Drosophila melanogaster: one gene and its partners. The gene in region 1 interacts genetically with each later gene. Each region holds a gene or a part of one and is shown on either strand. Other genes may lie near its edges.

Evidence for each region.
Region 2: of phyl (region 1) and chn, changing one enhances a phenotype caused by changing the other (phenotypic enhancement), as found in Drosophila melanogaster (one study listed by BioGRID).
Region 3: of phyl (region 1) and dbr, changing one suppresses a phenotype caused by changing the other (phenotypic suppression), as found in Drosophila melanogaster (one study listed by BioGRID).

What each region holds. Positions count from the first base shown.
Region 1 is NT_033778.4:14,426,818-14,434,310, reverse strand, and holds phyl (phyllopod), read left to right. Parts: upstream 1-1,973; 5' UTR 1,974-2,217; coding exon 2,218-2,403; intron 2,404-5,566; coding exon 5,567-6,583; 3' UTR 6,584-6,975; downstream 6,976-7,493. UniProt on the Drosophila melanogaster protein: Essential adapter component of E3 ubiquitin ligase complexes; involved in R7 photoreceptor cell differentiation, embryonic nervous system, external sensory organ development and specification of particular muscles.
Region 2 is NT_033778.4:15,113,799-15,118,498, reverse strand, and holds the start of chn (charlatan), read right to left. Parts: upstream 3,039-4,700; 5' UTR 2,811-3,038; intron 1-2,810. UniProt on the Drosophila melanogaster protein: Probable transcription factor involved in the development of the adult pattern of macrochaetae. Required for accumulation of achaete (ac) and scute (sc) in proneural clusters.
Region 3 is NT_033779.5:64,574-71,928, reverse strand, and holds dbr (debra), read right to left. Parts: upstream 5,448-7,355; 5' UTR 5,317-5,447; intron 5,254-5,316; 5' UTR 4,926-5,253; intron 4,887-4,925; exon of another isoform or gene 4,541-4,886; 5' UTR 4,422-4,540; intron 4,361-4,421; 5' UTR 4,305-4,360; coding exon 4,167-4,304; intron 4,038-4,166; coding exon 3,906-4,037; intron 3,845-3,905; coding exon 1,380-3,844; intron 1,323-1,379; coding exon 1,034-1,322; 3' UTR 539-1,033; downstream 1-538.

The DNA of each region.
Region 1 (7,493 bases):
TTCCTCTTAAAGTCAAATTGCATAAGAGATTAAAAAAATTTGATGTACAATTAATAAACAAACAATGGCGTAATAATTGTTTTTAGACGGTACCCTTTAGTTTTGCGTAGTGTAGTTTAGCTTTAATAGTGTTTAATTGCGTAGTCAAAGTCGAAGTAAAATAAATAAGAGCAGTGATTTAAAAATGGGAATACAAAAAACCGAATTTTTTCAAATGCACCAAAACCATTTGTTTAAACATATTGATAGGATCACAATAGAGATCTTGATAATAAATATTTAAATGCTTAACCATAAATCTCCAAAAAAAACTTCGTTATCCCATTCTTATCCTCGATATCTCATCCTGGCACCTTGGGCACTTCCTCTCTTGGGATCCCAGAGATCTACATGAAAATTTGATACGCATATGTCGCGGAAATCGATCGATCGAGGGTCCAGTTCCGGATACATTATTCGTTCGCCACGCAACTCCCTCGCCTGATTCCATTCATGTATTCATTCATCAGAGGCCTCGATTGCGCTTGGAACCTCCGTGCCCCATACTTACTCCTTACTCCCTACTGCCTACTCCTTACTCCCTGCTCCTTACTCCATTGTTTACTATCGTCGAAGATGCGTAGTAAAAGTAGCGGCGAGCAGCGCCAGTTAACCCAGTGTCTGCGATCTGAGAAGATCGTCGCAAATCGGAGGAGCGGACGAAGAAGGTTCGGACGAAAGAAAAAAGGAGAAGAAACATCTGTCGCCACGAAGAAATCCGGTTGCAAGCTGCAACACCACCGGCTCAAAATGAGCAACAACACAGAGAACATATGATTGAACTGCCCGAATGCCGCATAAAAATGGGTAAAAAACGAAAAATCGAAACGCACCTTTTGTGTTTTTGTTTTTTTTTTTTTTGTTTTTGGAGCAGCTGCCGTTGCTGTCGGTGCTTCGTCGCCGTTGCGGAGGATCGACGGGTTTGGGGGGAGCACCAGACTCTGCACTCGGCAGCCTGTTGATGAGCCCACAATGCGCACATGCTGCAAGCTATTCGTGCCGCGGATGATATGGGCTCTGTGTTGAGCCGGCGGGTCCTCCATAATGATAAGTGCCCGTCGAGGAGGCCGTCCACATTAAATTCGGCGTTTGTCGCTCAATGGCAGCTGCCACCGATTCCTTCGGCGGCTTAAGCAAATCCAAAGGACTGGACGCGAGGGACGAGCTTGAGTGTCGAAAGTTCAGATAGGTCAAGTTGTCAAAATATTCGGAGACAGTTGTCGGTGCTTTTCGATTCATTCATAAAATTTGCGAGGCTCTGATCGCTGAATGAATTTGGCAATTCGCCTTGCAAGGCAATAAAATTATAAAATAAGGTTTATCAGCAGGTTAAGAATCATTAACATTGTTATTCCTTATTTTTTATAAATATTTATTTGGCATAAAAGTATATCAGTCATCAGAATTTTATTCGTGGTTAAATTGTCAAACTTCTGCTGCATATTTCCACTGGCACTGCCTTTTGTTATCCGTTTCCTGTTTCAGAATTCGCACTAGTCATCCTAGCAGTCAACATCCCTTTTGGCGCCCTTAAATGTGAACATATGCCGCCTGTTTGTTTTGTTTCGGCTATGTCACCCTTATGGTTGCTTTTTCTCTCACTGCAATATTGGGTTATATGGTACATGTTTTCATTTTTCAAAAACACCAGGCTTAATCTGAGCCCAAAAAATTGCATTTGAGTATAAAAATTATACAAAAATAAATAAATATTTTTAAATTTTGTTTTATATTTGAAAATATATATATGATTTGAAAATATGATATATTTTGCATGACTTTTATTTCATTAGTGTCTAGCTTATCCTTTATCTCTTATTTTTCCCATCGATCCGACAACGCTCGCCACTCTCGCATGTCATTTGCCAGATGTGGCAGCCCGCAGGCACAAATTTTGAAAGTGGTGCCCAGAATGCGATGAGGACAAGCAAGGCTCATTCGAAATTTGTGCGTGCAACGCGAAGGACGTGCCGCTCCGTAGCTCGCTGTCCCGCTCTCGCTCTCCCCGCTCTCTCGCTCTGTCGCACGCGTTCGCCGCTTGGCATTTGTTGTTTGCCACATTTTCGCGGCACCCCAAAAAATCGTGAAAATACAAATACAATACGAGTGCGAAAGTCGAATATCGGCAGAAGTTAGTGCGACCTTTGGTGACGTCAGAGGCTGGGAAAAATCGCCAGGATGTCTACCAATCAGCAGCAGCAGGCGAATCCTTCGGCGGCCGTTGCCGCACCCGCCGCCTCCTCGGAATACCTGAAACGCACCTGCCTCATCTGCGGCTGCCACACCAACCAGACGATCAATATCTACGAGCCCCGCTCCGGACCCAATATCGTTCAGCTAATCCAGGCGAAATTCAAGTTTCAGGTATGGATTTTTCCCAACTTAGAGCAAAAAAAATAAAAACTCAGTTAGGCGGGGAACGTATAAAAATCGATATTGGGGCAACTCGGCGGATGAGTCATGCAACGAAGGAACGTCCTTCGGACAAAGTTTTCCCTCTGCGCGTGTATCCGTGTGTGTTTTTTTTTTTGGGTTAAAAGGGGATGAACTTCGCTGGGCGGAAAATGGGAAAATGGGTGGCACTTCTATAGGCAGGTACAGGTAACTCCCTCACAGCAGCCCACTGGGAAAAAAAGAGTGGCAAGCTATTTGATGATTGATTTCGAGCGCAGTTTTCTAATATTTTTAAGTGATTATTTGCAAAGAACTAAGGTCTCGGAATTAGTAGTTCTATCACAAACTACTTTCTTAATGAAAATTTCAAAATCCTTTATCCCTATTAGTTTTGTGGTATGCCCACCTTTTCCTGTGCCCTTTAAACTGCATATCCTGTCGCCGAGCAGATGATGCATTTCCCCGACAACCTTTGGTAATTGGACACTTTGCATATGTGCCAGTGCCACAGAGCCGCCACTTAGTTCGATTCCTTTCCCATAATTTTTAACAGCTTGTTCTAATATGCGAGCAGTGCGGTGTGTGTGTGTGTGGGAAATGCGACAGCGGAAGATGGCCAGGGAAATCGATCCTGGCTGAAGATCCTGGGCTTGTTTTTCTGTGGAAGTGAGTTTCGGGTCTCGGATTACAGGCACTCCTCCTCACTCAAATGACTACCCATGACTACCTGTACCGGCGGCGCACACATAAACCTGCTCGAAAGGGCAGATGTGCTGTGGATTTGCCGAGATTGCTCCAATTTCTGCGGGCAGTGAACGAACCCGGTGTGTTCGTTCTCTTCGTTTCCATATCCCAAAACGACAGCTGTATTTGCCGGTCGGCACTCAAAATCCAACCCATCGGGGTTTCTGGATCCTCTGCTGCTGCTGCTGCTGCTTCTTTATCAGCTCTTCATGGTCTCGAGTGAGTTTTTTCGCATATCAACTATTGAACTCGGATACCTGGATGCGAGTTCACAGTTTATTGTTTGTGAGACGAAGGGATTTTCCCCAGCAGCATTGGTGGTTGAACCCTTGGAGAATGCCAAATATCTTTGGATAGAAATTCCGGTTTCTTAAGCTGCGCAAATCCAAACAAAGGATCTACCCTTGGAATAGCGTTTACAAAGGTGATTTCAAATGCCCGAATTTTCAGCCGAAGTCCCAGAAGTGCCAAGCTAGACAAGATTTCCATTTAGAGGTCTTCGTTTAGTTTGGTATTTTTGGGAAATAGTTTTTACTAAGGTTTCCGTTCAATTGGATTACAAAGTCAGAATGAGAGTTCTTAAAACGAAGTCCTATAAAAACATAAACAATATTAAGTGGTTGCTAACATAGGTTGTTAAAATATTGGGTAGATATTGGTAGATTGTATTTCCACATATTTTCGGAATATATGTTTCGGTCTTAGATTAATTGAAGCATTGTGCTTAACTAGTATTGTGTGTATAGCAATCAATTTAATTACGAAATGCTCGAGACGCACGCAATGCGATTTCATAATAACAAAAACCCTCAGCTAACCCCGCAATATCAGACACTAGAAGCTCACCCTCTATGCACATAGAATATATATATATTCACCCCCTCCGGACGTCGTTAGAATTTCGTTTGAACCGTTTTTGCGAAACCCTATACGGTGGGCATACACCACCTGCCGTGATCGTAGCCTGGCAACCGATCTCCCCCACAGGAACAACACCCTCGCCGGGTTCTCTATAAGCTCGAGTTCTGAATGACAGTGCCATAAAGTCCAGTTGCAATTACCTTATCAGACTGCGCCCCCCCACCTCCCACTCTTATGCACTTAGAAAAAAGGAACATTACAAATTGAGTAAATATGCAGCTATATTAACAGAAGCACGAAGAGTTGTTTTCAAACTAATAGAAGTACTTTTAAACATATTTTTCATGTGCCCATATTTAACTGATCTTAGGAGTGCACACCTTTTTCTCGCAGTGCATCTGCGATCGGCGTGCGTGCGTGTGCGTGTGTGTGTGTGTGTTTGTGTGGCTTTCTGTCTGCTTTGCACCTGGCCTGCAATTTGCATTATTATACCGTTTACACATGGCCCTTGGAGCACACCTTTTCAGCGCCGAACCCAAAGGTAAACAGCCAGCCACAATCGCTCCTGATCCTTTCTACCCTGCACACCTCCTCCTCCTCTATCGCCATCCTGGTCGATCCTTTCGGTTCCCCGACCCTCGTACCGATCACCTTTATCTAATTTCTCGGCGCAGCTGTCGCGCATGCGCGTGCCTAATGGTCGTCATAGTTGGGGTTTTAACCCAGTTCCCGCTTCGGTTCCACTTCGGCATTATGTGTTTTTTTTTTTTATATATATGGATAGGGCGCGTGGCTCTTGGCCGAAAACGAGTTTCCTTCGAGGCTCGAACTAAGTAGCGAATGTCCCTTTGGCTTGTTACTGGTTACTGGTTTTCCGTACCTTTTGGGCCAGCTGCTACCGCTGGGCGCTTAGTTTTTGCTGGCAGGTGCACGAAATTATTGATACCCGAGGAATGCTGAGGTCTGGCTGGGTAATTAATATGCCCGGGTCGTCTGGCAGTTGTTTTTCGGAATTGTTATGGTCTTTTTTTTTTTTTTGCACCTCTGGCTGGATGCTCATTAGTGGTAGTGGTGGTGGTAGTGGTCGGGTGTCGCGAGCGATCACTAAGTGCATAGGCGTATCGTAATTTTCTAGAGGTTTATTCTGTGGGTTATGCCTGGCTTCAGATTGCGAGTCACGCAATCGGATTTGGGTCAATTTTCATTCTAAGGTTGGTTCCTGATGACCTTAACGGTTTCATGGCTATAATCAATAAATGATTGGCCTTCGTGGCTCTGCAAGTTACAATGTAACCGCCTTCGGTTCTTTCTAATGGCTTTTTATCCTTTACTTGGAATGCTACATATCAGTCTAAGGCAGTAAGCAATTTATAAAATGGGTTATTACTCAGCCATTAAATTAATTGAAGGACCAAATGAGTTTGAATAGTTATGATTAGTATATTATGATTAGCAATAACTTTATAGTCTAGATAAAACTACTTCTACTACCCGTACTCATCTATTCCCTATATATCTCTACTTTCAGCCCCTGAACGAGGACAAATTCCTCTGCTTTAGCTGCAACAACTGGCTGATCAACTGGCACTCCCTGCAGGCGGTCAACAGCAATGAGGCCGAAAGCCAGAGCCAAAGTCCCTCGCACATGGGCAACAGTGTGCTGCAGCAGGAAAGGACGAAGCTCCGTCCGGTGGCGATGGTTCGACCCACGGTGCGAGTGCAGCCCCAATCGCAGCCCCAACTGCAGCCCCAAGTTCCAATTAATCCCACACCCGCACCCATAGTCTATTCGAAGCGAAGAGCCAGCAGACGCAGTGCCTCCGTCAGCCGGATGAGCCGAGTGCTGCGCCAGTGTTGTGTGGAGAGTCTGCGGCGGAGTCCCAAGAAGCGCAATCAGCAGTCGGTGTTCGTCTGTCTTAGGCCGCAGGGCCAGAAGAGGAGCAATGCGATCTGCAAGGTGGAGTGTGTGGCGCCGCGCCGGAAACCAGTGGAGCGACTGGTTAAGGATGTGGCAGCTACAGCTACACCCACACCAGTGCTCAATACACAATCCACGCCCACTTACCAAAGATTCCCGCAGCCCAGTGTGGATGGCAAAGTAGTGGCCATGTTCCGTCGACTGGGAACCACACTCAGTCGGGAAGAACCCGCCGCATATTCAGCAGAATCAAACCCCGCCTGCTCGAAACTCCCGCAGATCATGAGTCCGCTCAAAGAGGCGCCGCGCTGGACGCGGGACCTCGATGATGATGAGATACTGCTGGAATTCGATACCGCCATATCCGAAGTCCTGCCAACTGCCCGCTATCAGGTTACCCACGAGGAGAACAAGGAAAACCAGCAGGCACAAGAAATGGAGCTGGAGCTGGAGGAGGAGGAAGAAGTGGATGGCCGAGCGGAACTGGAAGTGGTGCAGGAGGCGGAAGCGCCACTGGAACCGCAGAGCCACCACAAACAAGGAAACAGCCACCAAAATTCCCACCAAGCTTCAATCCAACTCGCTGGCCTGCGATTACCAATGGGCCTTAGCATTAGCCTCGTCTAAAAACGATGGGTCCAATTGATGCCCCGCACACAAAATAGTCAAATTGCATGCACAATACGCAAATTATGAGCATTAGCAAATGTCTAAGTTAATAGTACCTCGATTACATTTTAATTGTTAGTCAAATACCTTAATTAATTAGCGGACAAAAAAAAACACACACACACAAAACAAACAACAAAAGACCTAAGAATGTTAAGTTAACGGATGTGGAAAGCTATATTTAAAATATACATATTAGTCGTAGGCAAATCCCTGACTTACCCAAAAAAAAAAACAAAAAAGAGAATCCCCTCGAGCCAATGTAGTTGAATTTGTTTGTTTGCTCCAAAAGACAAAAGTATTTCAAAATAACATGCGAAATAAAAATAGCACAAAAGCAATCAGTATATAAATGAATGTTTTTATATTTAAATGTACGGGTGGTATGAATTTTCTATTTATTCCGAGGAATAAGGAGTGATCTTTATGAAAACCAAATTAATTTTACATTTCCCGCCAAATGTTACTCATCCAATTAAATTTTTACGTTGAAAAGTATGCACTTTTTCTCGTTACTAAATTGGGGCTGCCAACTTGTTTTCTTCACGGCGCCAAAAAGTATGCTCTAATTTTTCTGTCTTGTGGCGCCAAAATCAAAATGTAGAACTGCAGAAAATTTTCCTACAGAAAATATTTCTCTTCAATATTTAACATAAAATATGAAGTACGAGAAATTAAATTGTTAATTGTTAAATTAACTAAAATTACTATGTTTTACTTAAAAATTTTCTGCAATATATTTGCTAATAAGTTAACTAATAGAAAAGCTAAGAAAATTCATCACATTAGAAATCCATTTTAAGATATTCCAGAACCAACGAACGACATGCTCTTAAATACATACATATATCATTAGTTTTCGCCTTGC
Region 2 (4,700 bases), 690 kb from region 1:
ACCGAAAGGTGCACTGAAACCCACATACCTCAACCGTAGGGTAACTGCAAACAGGTTAACCCTCGAAATGGAGCAGCCTGAGCACCCTACTTTGCCTTCATTGCCACTCAAGTGGAAGTGGCCGGCCAAGGAGATGATGATGATGGTGGTGATGGAAATGGAGATGATGATGATCGCGGATAAAGGAGCTGCCTGGTGACTGGAACCGGTTCGTGAGCAGCCGTCAGTGGACAACATGTGGGCCACCTCGAATCCCCCTGAGAGGTTCTTTCGGAGGCAGTGCTCACTGGGCCTGGGTGGACCCGTTAGTCCATCCTTGGCCCGGTGCAAGCTGTGATATAACCAACGATCCCCGTAATGAGCCTGACCAATTACAGCAGCACATGGCTTCCTACGGCCAGCAAAACCTGTTGCCCCTGAAGACGAAGCCCTTCTTCGGTTTTGCAGTTGGGAGAAAGTCTCCTCGCTGGAATAGGGCTTCCCATTTTGGGCGCCACTTGTGAAGAGGAAATCTGCCTGGCACTTCTCAAAGGGGTCGAAACTCTTGCACTTTGTCACGTCTCATTTAACTTGGGAACCCCGGGGGTGGTTGTGCGATCACTGGTTCCCACTGTATAGTTCGCTCCAACCCTTTATATACGTACACTATCTCACATCCAACATGCACAGAGAAAAAAGAGGGGACATTATTGGTACAAATTTGCATACTGTCTATGTAGGCATTTGTTATAATACGTTGCCTATATGTTGTTATATCCCGTTGATATAGGATTCAAACAATGAAAATGTAGTACTAGTTGTGACTTCCTATAGATCAAGTGAGTTCTAACATAATTTCAAAGAGCAAATCTTTAGATTTCCGTAAATGTTTTTCCTATGTGGAGACACCCCTTGACGAGTGGGCGTGGGACACGGCCACGCATGCGCAACTCCCTCCGAACTCCCAACTCGAATCCACTTTGTCTGAGTGGGTGGGTAGTGTGTGTGTGTGTGTGTGCGTTTTCGAGACTGGGTTTGTTTTGAGCATTGGGTTGGGTACAGTCTCCGCTTGGCTTGCCTTGCGGTCGGGTGAGTCACTGGGTCTTGGCCCCTGGGTGATTTTTTCAATCATCATCATCAGCGTGGGGAGTGTGAATGAAATGAAGTCAACAGGAAATAGTCAGTTTGCGGCTAAGAATAAAATCAAATGATCGCTACGCTTTTTTCATGTTATGTAGTGACTACCAAAGAATCAAGTTCAAAAAGTACATAAGGTTCTTTTGGAAATAAAAGAAAGTGATCGCTAATATAATGATTTCCAATTTTAGTCAAAGTTTTCAACAATGCTGTCATGTATTGTTGGGTTAACGAACTCACTTAGTTGTTATTGCTTAACGAACTTGCTTAACTTTGTCTTATAGTCTGCTTCCGTTTTCCACCCCTTTACTTTCCAATCTAAAGGAATATGCGTTGCATTCTAGGCATTTTCCAGTGCTTGGCTTCGTTTAACTCGAGCTTAAAATCAATTTTTGTCGACGAGTAAAAAGCAATTAAGCTGTCAGTCTATGTAAGCAGCTTCAAAAACACAACTAATTTCTATATATAATCCATGGAGACGCCATGAAACGAAATTCCGTTGCCGGTATCCCCCTACCCCGTACATAGTATTTATTTATATAGGCATAATCCCGGGCAAGTGCAATTCGACTGCATACAAATTGCATTTTCCATATAATATATAAATGTATAAAATATGTGCGTGGGAATATAATCTTATATATATAAATATATATATAAAGCACTCGAATGCAGTTATTTGCATTCTGCAGCAGACATTGCCACCCACAAATTTTCACCATATTGCCCATGGCAACAAAAAACCACACATTTTTAGTTTTCATTTGAAAACACCATGCCACAAACGGAATTCGTCAAAGGCAAAATAATCAAATACAAATTATATAACTCCTACATACATATGCATACATATGTAGTCGCATATGTTGCATAAAAACCGAAACCCCAAAAAATCATATGCAAAACCCCCCATCGAATCGAAATGAAAATGCATCTCTCTCTTTGGAGAGAGCGCAAGCCTGTGCCGTTATTTTCTATTTTCCCAGAGAGCGCGAGAGTGAACGAACGGAAGTTGAACTCTCGAAAGTGCAACACAATTCCTTTGCACTTTTTTGATAAGGGGTGTGGGTCGCTTTTTGGGGTGGTGGGTAGGTGGGTGGGGTGGTTGAATATAACAAAAATTGTTATAGACACAAAATTTATGATGTGCTCCGGCTGTGAAAAACAACCACCCACCCAGGAGCGAGAAACTAAGGGGGTTACGATAGGTGGGTGCGGGGGGATGGGGGCGGCAGTTAGTTTTCAAATGCCAAAACAGTTGAGCTATTGTCGCGAGAGCGGGATAGTAATACCCTTCAAAGCCATAACGAGAGCGAGAAAGAGGGTGGGTTGTGCATTGTTTGGGGGTTGCTATACCGTTGCATAGAGCGCCTGCTCCAATCCACACACCAATACCATTTGTTTTTATTCCACTGTGTGCGTGTGTGTGTTTGTGTGAAGTATTGATGAAGGAAAAATAGAAGTTGGCGCTTTTTAGTTGGGGGTTGCTGCCCCCAGTGGGATGTTTCTCTGGAAAAAGTGCATACCGAAAAAGATACGCACACACACACACAAACGCATTGCGGAAAAATCAATAAATCACTTGGCTTGGAAAATAGATATGGAAAGGCCCCCCCTCCCAGGAAAATCAATTAATAGATACTCCATGCTACTCTGATCCGATTTGTTTTAAAATATTTTATTCACCAACTTACCAACATGTTAGCGGAGGTTTTGCAGCCAGCCCCGGAGTATGCAACACTTTTTCGCCTCTTTTCGCGCGGCACACTGTTTAGTAGGTTTGTGTTTCTCCTTTGCAGCTGGAAATTAATTTACTTCACTGATTTGTTAAATGATTTCCTTGATGCACTTTTCGGTTTTCCGACTTAACGAGAACGGACCGCGTTTCACAACTAACCTCATCAACACTCACACACCGAATGAGATTTCGTGACTGAATGAATATGAATGGTCGCGGAGGAGCGGATCCTACGGCGATTCTCCGCCACCCACTCTTTTGGGGTGGCTGATGGGTTGGGCGGAAAATTTCCCGTCCCTCCCCCTATTGGGCCAAGTAAATATGTTGTAATATTTAGTTTTGTTTTTGCGTCTGCGATGCGTTGCTTAGTTTGCTGTTGTTGCCGCGCCGATTGCCTGTCGCGTAATAATAATACCTCTCCGACGTTGTGCAATTGTGGGAAAAGCTTCCTGTCTGCGCCGCCCTGCTTCTTCTTCTGACACCCCTCCGCTTTTCCGCTTTCCACAATTGCAAAAAGCGCGCGCATTCCGCAACGCTCACGCTCCCACGCATAACAAGTGGACTCTCCGGCAAAACTTTGTCACTAAGCTAAAAAAACGATTCTAATATATAAATAGACTTATTAATTGACTTAAATTAAGAAAGAGTATATTAAAATAAAAAAATAATTTATTTTTTATTTGTCAGTATCGGGGTATTATCGATAGTCGCGCCGAAAACATCCGAAAACATCGAATTAATTGTATTCAGCGCGGAAAAAAGGCCACAGCAAAAAATCTCTTAAGTTATTTATTTTTTTTAATTATCTGTAAGTATAATAATAGTTGAATTTATTATTTGACTAATTAAACAACAACATATGATTTTTAAAGACCAATTTTCTTATTTGTTAAGCTTTCATTTGTTAAGCTTAAAAGAATTTCCATTACATAGAATGCTATTGAAATTGAATTTCATTTGCAATCCTCCTTAAAAATTACATTTCCGGTTCCATTTTACAATAATTTTACATTACATCATACACGATTACTACCTTCTAATATTAGCTGTGTCACTAACCCATTGCGAACTATTTTGGAGCTGCTTTCCGAATTGCTACACTTGTAGAGTTTAAGTTACCACCTAGAATTCTACATACGGTTATTTGATTAATTTTATTTGATCAATAAACATATTCACTGGATTATAGCCATGTACAATGCTTAGTCATGCCAACTCTGTCAATTTGTAAAATGTTTTTAAAATGCTCACTCGTATTTATAATTTTTTGCCAAAAAGCTGCCAAACAAAAACTGTTTTAATCCTCGATATATAAAATATTATAATCTTGGTTTATTAGTACAATGTACTACTTATTTTAAGAAGGCCAGCAGCTTTGCATAATACATTAATAATAAAATACTAATTAAATAGTACTGACATGATACATTGAAAGAGAACATTGCAGACAAAAAATAGGATTTATTCATCTGTAGGATGACCCACTCCACTTTAAAGGCCAAGAAAAAACATAAAAGGGAATTTCATTAAAACAGATTAGCGTAAGGTGCGCAATCTTTAATTAATTTTCGCGGATTTTATGTTTTTGCCCTAGCCGCAAAACCATTCAGTCGAGTGGCAAAACGATTGCAGGTAAAAAATGGCTACCACTTAGCCATGACGACGTTCATTTTTAGATTTTCGTCATTTTTTCGTCCACTTTTTCCGTCACTTGAGGACAGCAGTTTTTTTTAGCGGCACCCAAGTTTTAATCAAATTGCACATGTGACCACATAGTCAGCCATATAACCCATAGCCCACACCACAGACCCCAAAACTCCTTTGCTAACCTAATTTTACAGTTGCC
Region 3 (7,355 bases), on another chromosome or scaffold:
ATCGCTAAGAAGACCTTTTTTAACGTTAAAAGTTTGATGCTAATAATTAAATAAAAACAATATTTTATTGAACAAGTATATGTTCTTCATTCTTAGAATCACTGGGGCGTTCACATAAACCTACATGTGTACATATTTTGACTTGCTCGATTTCAACAACCGCCACACGTCGCGAAGCTTTTCAAACTGATATTTTGTTTTGCACATTATCATTGTCTGAATCAGCCATTAGACCTCGCGCTGTGTGCTTTGTAAAAAGAGATTGATGTACATATGTACATACATATTTACATTCGTATGTGCAAGTTTTTAAGGCAATTGCCTATTAGCTGTTTTCATTCATTTTCCTGCTGTTTCTAAAGCAGATATATCACAACCGATTTTATCATTACCGAAACATATACAAAAGTGGTGTATATCAAATTGTTATTAATGATCGAAATGACCTGTCGAAGCTTACATTCTTTCTGCTTTTGAACTTAAATAAGTTTGTGAACTATCAATTAAGATGATGTTTAGAAAAGACGTTGCAATTGTTAAATTTTCAGCATCATTATTTATTTACATTATTTAAAATTATTTTTCGGTACCGTTATTATTAAAAACAAAAGTTTAATTAAAACTACAAAAATACAGCTTAGATTCAAGACTGTAAACCAAATAAATATCTTCCGTTCTGCTGTCTAAAGGCATATTCTGGATTTTATGTTAACATACACCAGAAGGTACATTATATGTTCAAAACTTAACCCAAAAGAAAACTTAAGCGCTGAATAATTAATCGATTTACATACGTAAGGAAATTTTTTCAACCAAATCGTGTTATTCTTTAAATAGTTGTACTATTCTTGACTTATTTTCGTGTGTAGACTCCAGCCATTGCTTTTAATAAAGTTAATACAACTATACTAGTTTTTAAATGGGAGTATACATTGTACACAATTACATGTGCATCTTAGAGGGACGTAAAATAGGTATTTAATATTTTCCAAAATAAAACCACATATTTTATATGAAGGATATAAAGCATATCTCAGCGCTGTCGTGTCGAGCGCGTACCCATGCTATGATGTGATTTAGAAGTTGGTCCTTTATAATACTTTGATAACGTTTTGCTAGTACGGGTCGGTCGGGCGTTGGTGCTGTTCCGTTCTGAAGGTTTTTCCGTATCTGCCTTTAACGGCAAGTCATCGTCTTCATCCCATCTAGAGTCTTTTTTTTCTTCATCGCCAAAATCCTCGACGTTGGAATCAATCTTTGATTTACGTCCTCGGCGGTTTCTTGATGATGAAGAACTAACATCAGTTCGCTCCCACTTATCACTAAAAAATACGGTAAACATTTTAAATAAAGTCCGTATCAATAAATCTACAACTCACTCTTTTAGGGAAATCGTGTTTTCTTCTCCTGCTTTAAATCCACGATTCAGCAGGGCCAGCTCCCGCTCGGCAATTGCTTTTTTATGCTCATCTGCCGATTCTGCTGCACTTAGCTTGGTTGTGGAATCGGCAAGTTGCTTCACAGGTTCTTCATGATTGCCTCGCTTCAGCTGAAGCTGTTGCTCCTGGGCCTGTTTTATAGAGCGCTTTAACGCACTTCTAAGAGTGTCGCGGGAGTTTTCAGGCGCTGCATCGGCTCCCAACTGAGAAAGTCCAATAGCCTCCAAAAGCTTTTGTCCAAGCGCAGCTTTGACTTCCGACTTCCGAACGGATACCGAGCCTGCTTTGCTATCATCAATATCGTCACTACCTCCATTGTCCGGGACTGGTTCACACACTTCGGGATTTTCTTTCGCATTAATGGCTCTGGCTTTAGGATCGCAAATGTCTTCCGGGACGGTACTTGTGGGTGCCTGCTTTAGCTGACCCAAAGATTCTTTTCTAACAGTTACCGCACTTTTCTTTGTTTCTCTGGATAAAGTCTGTTTCGTACTTGGAAATACTTCTTTTGAATTCTTTTCATTTGGGGATCCGCTGTTATCGAGCACAACGACTTCAGACGGCTCTGATGACCGAATGTCTGTTTTGCGCCTTTTAAAATTGTATTGGGATCCGGGCTGGGACTGCGGAGAGACGTAGTCATCCTCAAGGTACTTCACATTATGCGGATCGACTGCAAGAGGCGGTTGGGGATCGATCAGTACAATGTCTTCTAAATTAACTGCACTGTCAGAGCCAATACAACTCTGACGAGTTTTTCGCTGGTCTTTTGTTTCTTGTTGTTGCTGCTTAAGGAGTGAGATAAGCGCTTCATTAATAGCGTCGGCCGGATTTGATTCGAACTGCGAAAAAAGCACAGAATTGATATTCGACAGTTCGTTGCTGACATAAGCTGCCTTTGAAGTCGATAACGAAATTATGCGGCGCGTCTTGTCAACAGCAGGTAAATCAAGGGCACGCATCTTTCGTTGATGGCGTTTGACAGTTGGCACGCTAACCGCCTTTTTGTGACGCACAGGCTGCGGTTCCTGTTCCGTGGGACTGGAAGGCACTAATTGAACCGACGTTTCTGGTGGAAGTTTATAAGGCATTGCACTAGATAAGTCAGCCAGCTTAAGTACATCTTTAGTCGCCTGCGATGAATGGTTTGAAGAAGCAGACCCGATAGCTGAGGAAAGTGGATGCTGATCTTGTTGCTGAACCACAGGCAGCATTGGGGCCAAATATGGACCTAAAAGTTGTGTGAGATCTGTGTCTTGAAGAAGGTTTGTGTCTGACATTATAACAGCGAACTTTGAACTTTTTAAGCGGGACATTTGCTCATCACAGTTTTCTGCTGTCACCGGCCATTTTAGAGCCTTGAGAATAAGCATCAACAAGTCTGGATCCCTAATAACGCTTCCCAGGAATATTGCATCAGTGAGGCTTTTAACATTAGAAATTGACGTTGACGGGGGTGAAACATGCGAATCAACCGATATAGTTAAATCGAGTTTTGTGGACTTTGTCTTAGATTGACTTGGCACAGTTTTCTTTAGCTGTGGCAGAGCCGTTTGAAGAAATTGTTCTTCATCCTCCCTTTTCTTTTTTGGCGCCGCAAAGATCATGTGCTCTGGCAGTGCTTCCTCCACGGAAGGTTCACCACCATATTGGGGTACCAGTGTAGTTGTGACCAGTGGTCTAACATCTTCAATAGGGTTTCGATTTTGCGCACCCTTAAGCAGTGATACCTGTCCGGTACGCATGGCTTTAATGTTGTTTAATGTGTTTTTAAGATTTCTACTTTTCTGCAGAAACAAATTACTGTCCTGAGATTTCGTTCCTGGATTGCTAACGTTTGAAGAAATAAGAACGGAAGCTGTAACTGTGTTTCTGCTATCTGTCACGTTGATGTTTCCGGTATTGTCCTCTGCTTGGACTTCAGGTATATTGCCCGTGATGCGCCCATGAGTCTGGATGAAGTTTATTACTCCTTTCGGCGATAGTTTTGTGTCTGGGCTCTTTCTCATTGCGTTGCTACCCAATGACTCTGTGTTTAGGGGCACCAAAGAAGGCAGACACTGCATAGTTCGTTGAGCGATAGACAGTGGGGCCGATCCATACCTAGTGTCTGTAAAAACGCTGTTGCGTCTCCCAGTGTTAAGATAGCTCTTTACTGATCCAGCGGGTTTGCTCAGAGAAGAGGATGAGGAAGATGCAGCCAAGTAGTTTTCGCCGGTTTTTGGGGCCAGCTCCAGGCAATTGGCTGGTTGGGGCTTGGAAGCGGTGTTTCCGGACTCCGGCACGTGGGTCAGCAAAATGGGGCGAAATTCATCGATTTCCGCTTGGACTTCGTCGTGTCGGTGTGGGATTTGGGTTGCTGGAACGCTCAGTTGTGCAGCAGCCGCTTCCCTCGCATTCTTAGGCTGGAAGATTTAATAAGTTGTAAGCTTGCTGATTATATATAAGTGGTATATAATCGATTACCAGTGTACTAAGGAGAAAGTCCCGAAACACGAGCTGAGTATGTTTTGCTATATTTGAAAGCGACGCCGTGGCCTCTACTTGGCGGTAACAAGATTTGCAGAGCACTTTTGGCAGAGGATCTTCTTCAGCTACCTAAAAAGAAATACGTTTTTTAAATGTCGAGTCTTAGCAAGTACGCGGAGGTCTTGTTTTGATACTTATTCAGATCTAGGATTAAATTTGATGCAGCGCCAAACAGGCTGTTCCTTTTTATTTACTTACATTTAGATAAAGGTGTCGAGATATTTTATCCTTCAGTCCCTGTGTTTTAAAAATAAACACACTTTCAACCACGGAATTCGTCTTGCTTTTCGTGTTGGCAGCGCAAATGCGGCACAAGTGCTCAAACTGAGCATCCATGTTACGAATTTGAATGCGCCTTTTATTTCCTATCTCAAAGCGTCAAGCCCAACATGCTGATGACAAAATGCAGAAAAATTTTTTAAAAATCCCAGGGGTTCGGTGTAATAGGCTTACTCTTGTTAACACCAAATTTAGACACACACACTACCATTTGCAATGCAGTTCGCCTTGCCCACTACTTCGTTTTCATGAATTTTTTACACTTGCAATTTGAGAAAGTCGTCGCGCGGTTACTGAGAGCGTGCAAAACAAAAGGCAAAATGAAAAACAAATAATAACAAACTGTAAATGTATTGATCATTGAAAGCGGAGAGCGCAAGTCCGAGAGAGTGAGAAACAGAAGCAGATCTTTGCTTTCCTCGTTTTACGCTGTTCACAATTGCTATGCTATGTTTTTGTGGAAAATAGTATTTTTCCATTTATTCTTTTCTCGAAAGCTTTGCAGAAGTCTTTTAGTCTCGACGAACGTTTTGGAATTACGAACATGAGCACAATAAAAGATTTATTCACTTAAAATAGACTTCTGCCACAACGATTTCACCAGCACTTGCGTTGCGACGAAAAAACGAAATAAAACTGAGCGAAATAAATGTTGCTGCCGTTTGCCATTACACTCACCACTCACACATACTAATGCATTTCCGTACACACACAGTTTCGCGCTGATGGCTTACAGTACTCTTTCTTTGCTCTCGCCTCTCCTACGTTGTTTGCACCGCCGGTGATGGTGTGCGTGCTCCCTGACTGTTGCTTGTATTAAACACTTACACGACTTTTGTTTCTATTTTTCGAGCGCTGGTGTATATGTGTGCGGGCTTGGTGTCCGTCTGTTTCATGGCGCACAGCCAGTTTTCCGCTCTATCCATGTGGCCTCAATGGCGTAAATGTAGTCGGCTGGTTTTTCTTTCCACCAGTTTTTTCTTGCGACCGGGTATTTAAGGTGTATCTAAATACCGTTGAAGGCGATTGCATATTCAAAAGCTATTACTTCCCTTATTAAAATACATACGTGCATACATATTATGTATTAATTTGCCGCTCGTAAAGTAAAAGACGACTCGCTCACTTATCAACTGTTGGTGCCTTTATTTACGTTGATTCCTCGCATGAAGCGCTCTCCTTGAACTAAAACTAGTTGTCATTCATTTTGATAGTGTTGGTTGTTCTCTGTTTGCGTGCCTTAGAGCTTATGCTTCTGATCTTTCTTTTGCCATTTTAGCTATTTTCCTGAGATTTTGTGATTCACTATGTCTATGTATTCGTGCATTTACGCCAAAATGTGGGCATAAGAAAAAATTTAAAATCAAGCTTTCGTATTAGCAATAAGTGCGATGTGGACGTACTGGACTTGGAAAACACAGTCTCTTCATTTTGACGTAAAACAAATAAGTAGGCAAACTTTTTGAATTTTCTTCAAGCCTAAAGTGTGCAGAATTTGGATTTTTAGGCGAGTTCCTAGTCATGTTTATATATGCATTTATATATGTGTGTACATATTTACACATATCTTAAATAACAACAGTCAGAAATATGGGTGATGATTTGTTATTTTAAATCTATACATAAGAATCAATATCTTGGGGTAACTTTTACTCTAAAATCAACATTAATAAATACGTTAATATGGCTGTGCAATGCTTTTAGCACATTTATACAAATTGCTTTCCTATAGACATACATATGTACGAATATGAATATTCCTTGGGCTTAAATGCATCCGTTCGCCAAAAGGTATGCAAAAGGTTTGGAAAATACTCCGAACTATCGCATTTATTTCATGAAGCAGCCACACGACTATTTACATTAACATAAATATGTACATACAATTGTACATTTAAGTCATTTAAGTGTATAGGAATATACCCTTGCAGAGAGTATATTGATTCCAGTAAAAACCTTGATGCGCAGTGTGGGAGACATTAAAGTATATACATACATATATTCTTGATCAGTATCAAACTCAGTGTTCATCGCCGTCCGTCGTCAGTCCCTCAGTTTAAAGCTGCATACAGATCTGCACGAAAGTTTTTCAAAAGTCTTAGGTAGTTTATAAGTCGGGACGGGCCAGATTATATCATTTCTTCTTATCCTTAGATGAAAAAAATCAAGGATATGTGCGCCCTGGTACCCAATTCTTACCTAAACACCTTTCCGTTGTGTGAAAGCTTGCTTAACGTACATTTTTAATGTATTTTTTATTATCGTTGGCAGATAGACATCAATGCAAAATGGTGTGCAACGAATGTGTACAAATTGCCCGAATTACATCTCATCAGGTATTTTAAAATTTACGAGCGCATTTGATCGGCAACATTTTTTTCTTGTTATTTACCAATTTATGTATTTTACATATTATTTTAAGTTTGGATACACGTAGTTAAATTATTGTACTGCTACCTTCAGGCATCTTAAACAATTATATATTTGAGGAGGGAAATTAATAATACTATTGTATTGATTCAACGTTAACGAATTTTTACATATTTACAAGGGTAAATATTTGTCATGTTCCTATATTAACAATCAAGATAGTTGTTACAACAGCGTTCTAAATAATAGGTCCTGTCGGTGGGGCCTTTTTAGTCTTATATTTATGTATATAATATGTATTTTTTTTATACATATAGAAAATGTAGTTTGGGCGAAAATGAAGCATACTTTTAGGCTGACAGATTCAGTGCATTTTTTTTTCTTATAATTAAATTTATTTTTTAAGGCATACGGGGAAATCTTGGAGCCCCTTTGTGTCCTTCTTTTCTATTATTTCTGCCCATTTGGGCGCGCCGGCTAACTATAGTTAGCTTTTTCTAGTTTATACAGTTATAATACAGTACATAACAAACACATATAATAAATAGGTTTTTTGATAAGCGTCAGCTTCTGCTGACCCTTGTCAAAGGAGATCGGGAAATGAGATCCCTCGGTTGCCTTCTGTTGAGCCTCCTTGGTGGGCGAGATCTGTTAAGAGCGCTGGCCAGCCGATTTCTGTGGCGCTCCAGCCTGTCATGGTACCTGCTCGAGTGCTGGTTTATCTCGTCAAATACCGTT